Bombyx mori: one gene and its partners. The main gene of each other region encodes a partner of the protein of the gene in region 3 in a complex. Links are inferred from orthologs where the notes say so. Each region holds a gene or a part of one and is shown on either strand. Other genes may lie near its edges.

What was found.
Region 1: the proteins of Tim10 (region 3) and acylglycerol kinase, mitochondrial are in contact, whole or in part, in a cryo-EM structure (PDB 7CGP), measured with the Homo sapiens proteins. The link is inferred for Bombyx mori from reciprocal best matches to the Homo sapiens genes TIMM10 and AGK. Residues at the interface, in NP_036588.1 of Homo sapiens: Glu40, Glu42, Leu43, Ser44, Lys45, Gly46, Ser48, Arg53; in NP_060708.1 of Homo sapiens: Phe49, Gly50, Asn51, Gln52, Leu53, Ile54, Pro55, Pro56, Val60, Ser91, Gly92, Met93, Asp94, Val95.
Region 2: the proteins of Tim10 (region 3) and mitochondrial import inner membrane translocase subunit Tim9A are in contact, whole or in part, in a crystal structure (PDB 2BSK), measured with the Homo sapiens proteins. The link is inferred for Bombyx mori from reciprocal best matches to the Homo sapiens genes TIMM10 and TIMM9. Residues at the interface, in NP_036588.1 of Homo sapiens: Glu16, Met17, Asp20, Met21, Arg24, Ala28, Cys29, Lys32, Cys50, Arg53, Cys54, Ser56, Lys57, Tyr58, Asp60, Ile61, His62, Arg64, Met65, Gly66, Lys68, Leu69, Leu72; in NP_001291414.1 of Homo sapiens: Lys15, Leu18, Gly19, Tyr21, Asn22, Lys23, Thr25, Glu26, Cys28, Phe29, Leu30, Val33, Asp35, Phe36, Thr37, Thr38, Arg39, Glu40, Val41, Glu45, Thr46, Glu50, Leu53, Leu57.

The regions. Positions count from the first base shown.
Region 1 is NC_085118.1:2,014,794-2,018,922, forward strand, and holds the start of acylglycerol kinase, mitochondrial, read right to left. Parts: upstream 2,892-4,129; 5' UTR 2,508-2,891; coding exon 2,398-2,507; intron 2,119-2,397; coding exon 1,938-2,118; intron 885-1,937; coding exon 767-884; intron 1-766. UniProt on the Homo sapiens protein: Lipid kinase that can phosphorylate both monoacylglycerol and diacylglycerol to form lysophosphatidic acid (LPA) and phosphatidic acid (PA), respectively. Does not phosphorylate sphingosine. Phosphorylates ceramide.
Region 2 is NC_085124.1:8,580,178-8,583,487, reverse strand, and holds mitochondrial import inner membrane translocase subunit Tim9A, read right to left. Parts: upstream 2,036-3,310; 5' UTR 1,921-2,035; coding exon 1,876-1,920; intron 1,680-1,875; coding exon 1,584-1,679; intron 877-1,583; coding exon 742-876; 3' UTR 605-741; downstream 1-604. Other genes in the region: 26S protease regulatory subunit 6B, read left to right, coding at 2,839-2,871, 2,946-3,038. UniProt on the Homo sapiens protein: Mitochondrial intermembrane chaperone that participates in the import and insertion of multi-pass transmembrane proteins into the mitochondrial inner membrane.
Region 3 is NC_085130.1:5,899,656-5,903,998, reverse strand, and holds Tim10 (mitochondrial intermembrane space translocase subunit Tim10), read left to right. Parts: upstream 1-1,434; 5' UTR 1,435-1,564; intron 1,565-2,421; 5' UTR 2,422-2,584; intron 2,585-2,922; 5' UTR 2,923-2,965; coding exon 2,966-3,107; intron 3,108-3,924; coding exon 3,925-4,064; 3' UTR 4,065-4,123; downstream 4,124-4,343.

The DNA of each region.
Region 1 (4,129 bases), on a different chromosome or scaffold from region 3:
CTGCATTTGTTATAACATGAAAACACTAAAGCATGTTCAACTAACTAAACAAGATAGAGCCATTGTTAATACATTTTACGACATTATGGCGTTTAGCTGCCTTTGATTTTATAGGCCTCAAATATATATATGTTTTTAGGATACAATTTATTCAGAAAAATTATCTAATTATTATTATTCACTCAAAATTTAAATCATAACAGTCCCCACTGTGGCCTCCATTTACAGAGTATTCCAAGGCAATGTATAATGAATATAAGTCGTCGTAGCCCAAAGGATAAGACGTCCGGTGCATTCGTATCTAACGATGCACGGGTGTTCGAATCCCGCAGGCGGGTACCAATTTTTCTATTGAAATACGTACTTCACAAATGTTCATGATTGACTTCCACAGTGAAGGAATAACATGTAATAAAAATCAAACCCGCAAAAATTCTAATTTGCCTAATTACTGGTGGTAGAACCTCTTGTGCTGCCGTGATGCAGTAATGCGTTTCGGTTTGAAGGGTGGGGCAGCCGTTGTAACTATACTGAGACCTTTGAACTCATATCTCAAGGTGGTTGGCGCATTTACGTTGTAGATGTCTATGGGCTCCAGCAACCACTTTAAATCAGGTGGGCTGTGAGCTCATCCACCCATCTAAGCAATAAAAAAAAGAAAAAGAATAATGTACATATATAATAGCTCCGTATGTAGCATTTGTAGGAAATAAGAAATAAAAATATTCAGCTTGAACTTTCATGTGTAATGCAAACACATTCTTACCAGTTACAGTCTCAGACAAAGTACCATCTCCTCCTGCAACAATAATAGCTTCAGTACCCCTTAATGTTTCTACAATTTCTTTTGCATTTCCTTCTGAAGCTGTTTGCACAACATCTACCTGAAAAGTTTGTGATTGTTGTATAGTTGTGCTAAGCACATGGGTCATGTGTCAAGGAGAATGGTATTCATGAATTGAATCCATCAAACTATTTCTACTTGTGGTAAGACATCTTGTAAGTCTCTGTGTGGGTAGGTACCACCACCCTGCCTATTTTTTGCTGAGAAGCAGTAATGCAATTTGGTTTGAAGGGTGGGGCAGTCATTGTACTGTAAAAATGAAGACTTTAGAACGCATATCTCAAGGTAGGTAGCTAGATTTACATTGTAGATGTGTATAGGCTTCGTTAGCCACTTAACACCAGGTGGTCCGTGAGCTCATCCATCCATAGAGCAATTAAAGCTATGGGCTGTAAATATATTGATTTGAATTAGATGAAAATATTGATCTAGATTAAAGAAGCGAAATCTTTACATTTTATTTCAGATTTTTATCAAATATATGTAACATAAAATGCAAATTCTTTATACAGTAGACCAGCACTAATTTAATATGCCTGTAACTGGATCATATCAGGTCTGGATCATATCATTTAGATTAAGAGACATATTGCTTAATATGTGACATTTATCTTTGTAAATAAAGCTAATGAAATAGCCTTTTACCCCTCAATATAAATTAATTCTGTTAAATTTTCATTAATGCATGTTTGAACTATGTATACAACATAATTCAAACCCCATTGCAAGACATTTGTCTAATGACAGATCAAATGTATAAACAATTTATTGAAAACTAGTTGACCTAGCACTTTTTAGTGCCTCAATCGATAAATAAAATACCTAAGCTTTTGTATAAAATAAACTTAGAACAAACAAATGGAATCCATCCAACAGGGGGGACATATCAAAGGAAAAAAGTGCTATTTTTATTCAATTTTGAGTATTTTCATATTTATCTACCTTTTAAACCTTCTCTGGATTTCCACAAATAATTTAAGACCAAAATTAGCCAAATCGGTCCAGTCGTTCTCTATTTTAGCGAGACTAACGAACAGCAATTCATTTATATATATATATATATAGAATAGATATAGAAGATAGAAGATTATACCTGTAAACCACCTAATAATAGCAATGGTTCACAATATTTCTCAAATTCTTGTTTTGCTTTCCTCTTGTTGGCTACAGGGTTGAGAATAACTGTTATGACTGTGGGGTTTCTTTCGATGGGCAGGAGAGCTTCGCCGTAAATTGCAGCCTCTTTACATGCTGCTCGCATAAGTATATTAATTCTGTTGACAATACATAAACTAGATTTTTTAAACTTAAGTGGTAGGCGCACAGGTGATAAAGGGGCGATTAACTTGGCTGGACAGTTAAAGTGTTGGTCAAATCTTTAGTAGTAGATAGCACATAAGCTGTGGTTCTGGAAATGCTTGTAGTGAGTAGGTACGGTAGCTGCATAACATCAGTTTGGTTCGTATGACTGCCATGGTGAAGAGATGAAAACTTTTTTTGTGAATTAGTAACTCAGTTACAAAATTTAGTTTTTAATTTGAAATTTTACGCACTCATATTTTTCTTTTGCAGTCGCACTAGCGTAGTATATAGCGACTGCACCAAGGACTGATTTCTTCCAATTGTTTCGTATTGTTTTGGCAAACTTCGCTATTCTTTCCATTTTTTTGCATTAAATCGAATAAATCAAACTATAAACATAAACATTTAAGGTTATAGAACTTACAGATCAGCTGTATAATTCTACTTTTTTTTTCAGAATGGCAATCGGCTTCTGGCCATGTCCTTGTTGAGCTGTTTAAAATTTATTGTTTTGTTTTGTTTATTTCGTCTATTCACATAGGAACGAAGTTGGTGAATTGTTTTATTTTGTTAATTTTGCTGTTCTTCAGGCTTCAATGTAATTACCATCCCATCTGTGAAAGCACACAAATGTGGTAAAATGAACAAAGCTGCTGTGCTGAAAAAGTCAACTCAAAAACTAAAAAGTCTCGTAAAATTTATTCTATTTCATCTTGTTTCCTTTTATTTCATCCCAATTGATTAAATGCTATTTCACTATTTATTTTTTTCATAATCTATGACTCGAAAGTCTTTTTATGCCATTAGGACTTTTTGGCGGGAACGCGAGGAGTGAAGTTGTGTGATTTGTTTTATTTTGTCTATTTAGTGTCTCTTCAGGTTTAAATGTGTAATAATGGTGGTTTATTAACTGTTTAATATCTGTGAAAGTGCACAAATGTGGGAAAATGAAACAAAGCTGCTGGACGTAACTTCTCGGGTTCCTTCAAAAAGACCACTGAAAAAATCTCAGTAAATGACCACCATTTTACTGCGATTATATTTCATCCCATATCATTTCATTTCATTAAATTTCATCCCAGTTGCTTAATGTCTCATTAATCATCTTCATTTCATTCCACTCCATATTATCATTTTTCATAAAATTAAGAATATAAAGTAAAATAAGACATGACTTAAAGGTCTTAGTTACCAGGTCATAAAATCTCTTAAAAAAAAAAAGTTTATGCCATTAAAATTCCTAAAAAAAAAGTCAATGACAGGTAAAGGAAAAGTAGCTCATACAGTCAAATCCTGGTCGCTCTGCCAAAGCGAAATTTTTGTTGTATAAAAAGTGAAATAGCATGGAAATGAAATTGAGAGGAATAAAATGAAACAATATGAATCCGGTGACATAGGTCAACAACGTAGGTGCAAGATGGGATAAAATAAAATAATCACCGAGTAAAATTATAAAATTTTGATGAATCATAAAAAGAACCTGAGAAGTCAAGTGCAGCTTCATTTTCCCGCAATTTGTGTAGATGTGACCTATGTAGATACTAAACGGTTGATATTGGTCTAGTATTTTTTTTATTACATATCTAAATTTAAGAAGAAACATTAAATTGAGAATATAATAGTAAATCCTTCAGTAATTTTTTGGTGTTCCCGCTAAAAAATTCCAAAATCATGTCATTAAATTGTTACCAGAGTAATCAATTCCTCACAATTCAATTTAATGTGTTCCAATGATTTCACATGCACAATCGATCAATGGGGATGTAAAATATCACTTTATCCATTTTTTTTATCGCTATAAATATTATTTACTTGCATGAAAATTAAATGATGAGTTTTCCGTTGTCAGAAATTAGAAGAATGTGCACATAAAATCGATTTTAACTCAAACTATGACGAAACCATTAAATAATCGAAGTGCAGCACTACGCAATACAAATTGATTTGTCAAGAAATACATTAAACATTATTCGTGATGTGTTA
Region 2 (3,310 bases), on a different chromosome or scaffold from region 3:
TAACGTTCTCCATAGCATAAAAGTTAGGTAACTCAAATTTGTATGTAGTTGAAAACGTTTGCCTACGTTTGCCGCTAGGGGCGCTGTTCGAACTGCCTACAAATATGAGTTAACTTTTTCGCTATTGATTGATTCGCTAAGCACACTGACCTCACAAAGTGATCATCTCTGTCTATAAATGGATTAACTCAAAAGATTTCATGGTAAAAAGAAAATAAAATGTATTGTATGTAAAACAGCTCCTTATAAAGCTAGTGATTTCTAATCTAGCAACGAGTAGTATGATGATAAAATAGACAGGTAATGATATATCAGATCCGTGAAGCAATGCCACGGTGCAGGCAGTGGCAGCTTTGGAACCAAAAAATAAATATGTCATGCTTCCATTTTGAATTTCGAAATTAATAATTATGATTAGTCTATGAAAGTTACAATTTAGCAAATTAATGAATTTCCATATCAATTACTATCAAAAATTAGAATAAATTCATCAAAAACACGAATTGAACTTTTTCATGATAATCTTACATAACACAACCAAGTGTGACAGTAATTCACTATTAGTGAATTTGAAAATAATGATAAGCAATGAAAAACAAAGAATCTGTCTAACAGAACTTTATTGACAACAATTTAGACATACACTGTACATTTGCACAAGTATATCATTATATAGGGTGTGCTTTCTCTTACTACACCTTAAAGAAAATGACTAGATAAGTCACAAATATACCATACTTTTTAACTAGGGTTACCAGATTTTTGTGCTAATGCTAACATGTTTTCATTGGCAAGCATTTGGAACTCATGGAATCTTTGTGAAACCCTCTGATTCATTCGTAGATATTTCTCCATACAGTTGACAGTGCATTTGTCCTAAAAGATAACACATTTCAATCAGTGATCTATGTAATGAAACACCCATTTTCATTTAACATTCCCACTAACTGCTATCCTGCTTTAATAATCACAGGGATACAATGCTCACCTGTCAAATGTAATAAAAGCCAAAAATAATAATTACTTGAACTATTTGTCAACAAATGCCACAAAATGAGAATAAAGAAAAAACTCATTAATATTCATGAGATAACACTGAATCTGGTGACTCTGTACATTAAAGAAAAAAATGAAATAAAGAATTATAGAAGCCAGCAGTTCCTGTAATTATTTTCTGCCAGTCTCTATTTGGCTGTCCATATTCAGTGCTCCAGATCTACTGTATACATTTACATGTAGTTTTTCACAGACAGATGGGCAGATTACAGATTTTGAACAGAACATAAGGTTTCTTACATTAAAATCATATGCTGCAAATGGTATTTTTAACAGTGATTGAAAGTTATATTTCAAATGATATAATTAACAAGAAAGTAACTGCTGTATTCAATTTTGACACTTAAATTGCTGAACTAATTTTGAAAATTCAGGGAAAATAGTATTATATCAGGGAAAGTAATAAGCTTATATTCCTCTAAGAATTAAGCTACATTTCATGCCACCGTGGAACACACATAAAAGAGCGTTACACGGGGGCAAAGTAACAGACGAAAATATAGTTAACTAATCGAGCTATTCCTTACCTCGGTAGATTTTAAAGTCCTCGACGTAAAATCATGAATGCAATCATTGAAACAAAGTTCAGACAGCTTGTTGTATTGTACAAGGAAATCCTTGAACTGAAATGAAATTTGAAAAAAATTAAATTTTCTACTGAAATTTGAAAACACTAAACAAAATGTACCGGCATATAGATGATAATTATTGGAGAAATGTTAAAGAATTTAAGAAATTAAATTATATTTTTAAATAAGTGGAATAATTCAGAAATAACATTATTTAACAAATTATTTCGTGAAAATACTAAATATTTACAGTTTTAATTTGATCAACTTCACTCATCATTTCAGGGGTCGCCATTTCTGTATATCTTCAAGAAAAGTTTAGAACAGTGTGATTGTTTAGTATTTTTACAATATTTATATTAAATCTAAATATTTATTTAATATTTTTATGAATTATTGTAATGTTTCAATTTTAGGTTAGATTAGAAGCCTTTTTTATTTTGTTGTACCATTTGACAGGCAAAGGTATAGCGAATGTACAGACTAAAAAAGCCAAATATTAAGATTATGAATTCACTATTTGACTTGACTATGACTTGACCTTAAACAGACACGTAGTAACTATTATACCAATCTGTGGGCAGAGCGCGGTCTGCATCTGGACCGCCGCGCCGACCCATGTTATACGTTTCGCGTTTCCAACATTATAAAAATTGAAAGTTGATCTTGGAAGATTGCATGCATTCGTATGCTTGACTCATTTAATTTTTGTCAATATGCACAATGTCAATATTTAGAAAAAAATGGCCTCACATAACTTCTTATGTATTTTCCAGAGCTTCCATTGCAGTTTGTAATTAACTGAGGTACCTATGTCATTTTATTGATTTTTTTTGTTTCAGAGTCATTTCCAATTTTGGTTTATTTCATTCTATTTAATTTTACTTTTCTTTTGAAAGGGTTCACTTCATTCTAATGAAACACGAAATAATTATTTAACCATTTCATTTAAAAAAAGCTATTAGAGTGATATGACTACATTTCCTTTGCCTATCAACTAAGAACAAACTACACATCTTAAAAAGTTTGCGCTACGAAATGTCAAAAATCATTGAATTGCAGTTTTAGACAGAAAGAATTAAAATAACCAAATAATAACTAGGTACGAATGTTCAGGTTTGATCGTCTACTACACTTTGTCTCTGTGTAAAACACATTTCAGATAATCAAATAATAATCAGATAGTACACGAAATCTCTTAGCTATAGAAACAATGGAAGAGATTGGAATTATTTTACCCGAGAAAGTAAGTATTCAAAAAAAGGCTTACTAATCGAATAACTGTAACACAACCTTTACACATAATATTGAACTTTTTAGGATGACCAAGTCACAGACTCAAAAGGCTTGGCGTTTGCTGGTCCTCAATCTTTTGATGAACTCGAATCTGAAGATTTATACACAAAGTACAAGGTAAGTGAAACAAGTTTATAAACTCCACTAAAACTATTCATTTTCACCAATAAGTAAATGTATGAGATGCCACCCACCTTGAGACATCAGTTCCATACTACAGTGGCTGCCCTGCCGTTCAAACCAGAATAAATCTTGTGCTAGTAACATCAAGATAGCCATGAGCCCATTAGCCCATTAAGGAAAAAAACTGCATGGTTTTCTTTAGCCACTAGTAGTAGTTACCTACTGAGTTTCTCACTAGTGGGTCACGATTGTGATCCAGTGGTAGA
Region 3 (4,343 bases):
TTTAATTTGTCTTATTTTAAAACTCACATTGTTTTTCGTTTCCTTTCTTTTCATTTAAAGTTCGCTCTAACTGTTGGATACACCAACATAACTCGAGCTGAAACTGTCGTAACGATTCCTCGGGGTCTACACCTTCGGACTCATGTTTATCAATTTTACAAGGTTTCTGTAAAGATGTCGATTTGCCTTTATTGTGCAATCTTGTTGGTTTAGGCATTTTATTTATGATATTTTATATCGCCACGTTTTGAAACTTTGTTAATTCCAGAGAAGTTTTGATGAAGTGTAATCTGTGTATTATTATAATAACGGATGTATGTAACGTTCTCTTTGTAGTAACGAAACCAAGTCAACAGAGGACACTAACTTGGAAAAAACTGAAAACAAATTTATAGCATAGATAATTAAGTAGCATTTAGATCGGGTGCACATTGTCATTCCTGCCGGCACCAGTTTATTGTCTATGGTTGATACAGACTGTCCCGGTGACTATTTTATTTATTTATTATTGTACAATATATGCAATGCGATAGATTTTTATTTTAGACTAGCTGACCCGGCAGACCTCGTAGTGCTTCAATCGTTAAATAAAAGACCTAAACTTTTGTATAAAATAAACTTAAAACAAACAGCAGGAGTCCGTCCGACGGGGGACACATCAAAGGAAAAACAAATTGTTATTTTTATTTAATTCCAAGCATTTTCATATTTATCTACCTTTCAAACCTTCTCTGGACTTCCACAAATAACTCAAGACCAAAATTAGCCAAATCAGTCAAGCCGTTCTCGAGTTTTAGCGAGACTAACGAACAGCAATTCATTTATATATATATAAGATACGATAAGATAAGATAAGATAGATAGAAGATAGATTAAAGGTATTAAAAACTAAACTTCGCATTATGCCAATAGTTTGATGAATCGTTCGAATTAATTCTCTTCTGTACGTGTTATCAAATAAACCGGCCCAACCGATACGAATGAGTATTTCCGTCCGGGCTTAACATAGACAAATATTTTGAAGAAAAAAAATGTTTGCCAGGGAAGACCGCTGATGATTCTAATAATTCCTCAAATTTCTCATTAATATTAAGTTTAAACGAATCTTGTGTCTAATTTATATTTATGTACTCTATTATGGCAGATTAATCTCTACATTGGAAATCTGTAAGCTTAGCTCAAAAAATTTTATACCAAAAAGTTCACAAAGTTTAATTTATAATTAATAATTTTATTATTTAATTAATTTAATAGTTAATTTATGTATAATATAATTAATATAGCAGATTTTTCATAAAAACCCGTTCCTATGTAATGTTCCTCCTTTTAGTCGATACGCGCCTGCAATATTTCTTTACAATCATACGATCACATAGCGACATCCGGCTGTGACATAACGTTTTAAAAATTGGTACTAAAACGTAACCTTAAAGTTGTAAAAGCAATTCCAAAATTTCATAGTATGCCGCTTGGAAAATTTGGAAAAATTACTCTTTCGTGGTAAATAACTAAATAAGATATACCCAAGTTTATCACCAGCTTACTTTTGATTTACCTTTCGTTGGTGAGCGCAGAATTAAATTCGATTTTACTCATTTCATCATTCGTCTATTTAGCCAAGTTCTATTTTGTGTAAATATAATTCTACAAGATAAGTCAATTACCTATCACAGCGTATTATTATGCTCGCCTTTTATTACTTATTAATAAGAAAACATGAAAATTAAGTTATATACTCCACAACCTTGACTCTCATGTGTCTTCAGCCACAAGAAATCCATCAAAAATAACGTCATAACTTTGGAATAAACGTTAAAAGCGAAGATCTTCGAGCAAGCGGGTTTCATTTCTAGGGTAGACCCACGATCTTTTGTAAATATGCATACTTATCTTGGAAATGTTGTTAATGCGATTCAGTTATTTTGGAAATTACTTATAGTCTATGTTACCTTATACTACTACGCAAATACAAGACGAATCTGTATTCTAAATGAATTTGAACTCACGTTTATGCATTTAGATTAAAACTAGTGGATTTTATATGCATATTTTGTGGATTCTAACTTAATTAAAACTTGATAAGTCTAGTTTCTGAGATAAGTAGCTGTTATCGGCTGTTTCGCCTGTGGCGTTATAGAAATGTGTCAATTTAGTTTCCTGTGGGTATGAGATGTTTTTTTGGAATAAAAATCTCCTGACCTAAAACTATGTCAAAAAAATCATGTTAATTTATTGCTTCATTTTAAAGTGAATTAAAGACAGACAAGCACACTTTTTAATTTATACCATTAGTATCAACGTGTATGATGTAGTATGATTTTATTAATTAAGCTTAGTTATTTTATGTTACACGTTTCACAAATGTTCCAGACCCATTAGCAGAGAGAGGATGTTTTAACCCAGGATCGGTGTTAATTTCAGGTTAGCAATAACAACAGCAAGTTTATCATTATTCGTGGTGGCGAAGAACTACATTAATACTCAGCGTGTTGAGAATATGAAAGCAAGAGAACGCATGCGAAGATCTAATCAAGGAGAATACCCTGACTTGTATCGGAAATTGTGAACTTGAATTCATTATAATGTGAGTATCTCTCTAGTAACTCTAGAAAATACTGGTGAGTAACACTAAATTAACTGGTGATAGGACCTCATGTGAGTCCTCATGGTTAGGTACCACCACCCTGCATATTTCTACCGGGAGCAGTAATGAGTTTCGGTTTGAAGATTGGGGCAGTCGTCCTAACTATAGTGAGAGCTTTGAACCCATATCTCAAGGTGGGTGGCGGCATTTACGTTGTAAATGTCTGGACTCCAGATACAACTTAACACCAAGTGGGCTGTGATCTCGTCCGACTAACTAAGAAAAAAATTTGTATACAGTGTATGAATGTAACTAAAAAATATTTTAATCTACTGTAGTTTCCAGATATACCATTGAACATTACTTAGTTAAAACGTAAAGATGGCAGTACCGCAGCTAGACCCTGCAAAGCTGCAATTGGTGCAGGAACTGGAGATTGAGATGATGTCCGACATGTACAACCGCTTGGTGAGCGCATGTCACCGGAAGTGCATACCAATTAAATATCATGAACCTGAATTAGGTAAGCCAGGCAAAAAAAAATATGGCGAACATTATAATTATAGGGACCTTCAAAATTGTATTCATTGTGACACACAAATGGTTTATTAAACTGTGGTCGTCGTGGCCTAAAGGATAAGACGTCCGGTGAATTCGTATGTAGCGATGCATCGGTGTTAGAATCCCACCAGTAGTTACCAATTTTTCAATCAAATACATACTTAACAAATGTTCGCGATTGACTTCCATGATGAACGAATAATATCAAATAAAAAGTGTAATAGAAATCAAACCCGCAAAATTATAATTTGCATAATTACTGGTGGTAGGACGTCTTGTGAGCCCACTCAGATAGGTACCATCACCCCACCTATTTCTGCCGTGAAGCAGTAATGCGTTTCGGTTTGAAGGGCGGGGCAGCTGTACTGTTAAAAGTGACACCTTACAACTCATGTCTCAAGGTGTGTGGCGGCATTTACGTTCTAGATGTCTATGGGCTCCGGTAACCACTTAACACCCGGTGGGCCGTCTATCTAAGCAATAAAAAAGAAAAGAAAGATAATTATGACCTTCAATGTCCATTTGTTTCTTTTTAAGCCATCACACTTATGAAGTTTATGACCTATAGTTTATAATTATTATTATAAGCTAAGCTTTAGGGTTATACACTGTTACAGGACATCTACAAATACAAAAATATATAGATGATATAAAGATAGGTGATATTTAGAAAACTGATGTAGCATATGCTTTTAAAATAGATACAAGTATTTAAGAGATTTAATTGCCTCGCTTATATAGGATGAGTTAATTTTGAACATGATCTTCTCTTCTTACAGGAAAAGGCGAATCTGTATGTTTAGATCGCTGTGTAGCCAAATACTTGGACGTACATGAACGCATAGGTAAGAAACTTTCCAATATGTCACAAGGAGAAACCGAAGATCTCACAAAGGTCAACATACCAGACAAAAAATAGTACGAAGCTACTACTCACGACAAATCAATCAGTTGCTAGATTTTTCACAGTGACCAGTACAAGACATCTGCAGATTTGAGATATTTTGTTGTGAAAAATTTGCAGTAATATATAGGTGAAGTAGTCTTTCTATATATAATATTAATTCTGCCATTATGTCAGTACTTCACTATGAGAAAACAATCTACTATCACTAGTAATCTCGAGAGATTATGCTACCTTGGTCATCTACCCTAACAAGGGCAGTGCTTCACTTGTGACGTTTGGGAAATAATGTTA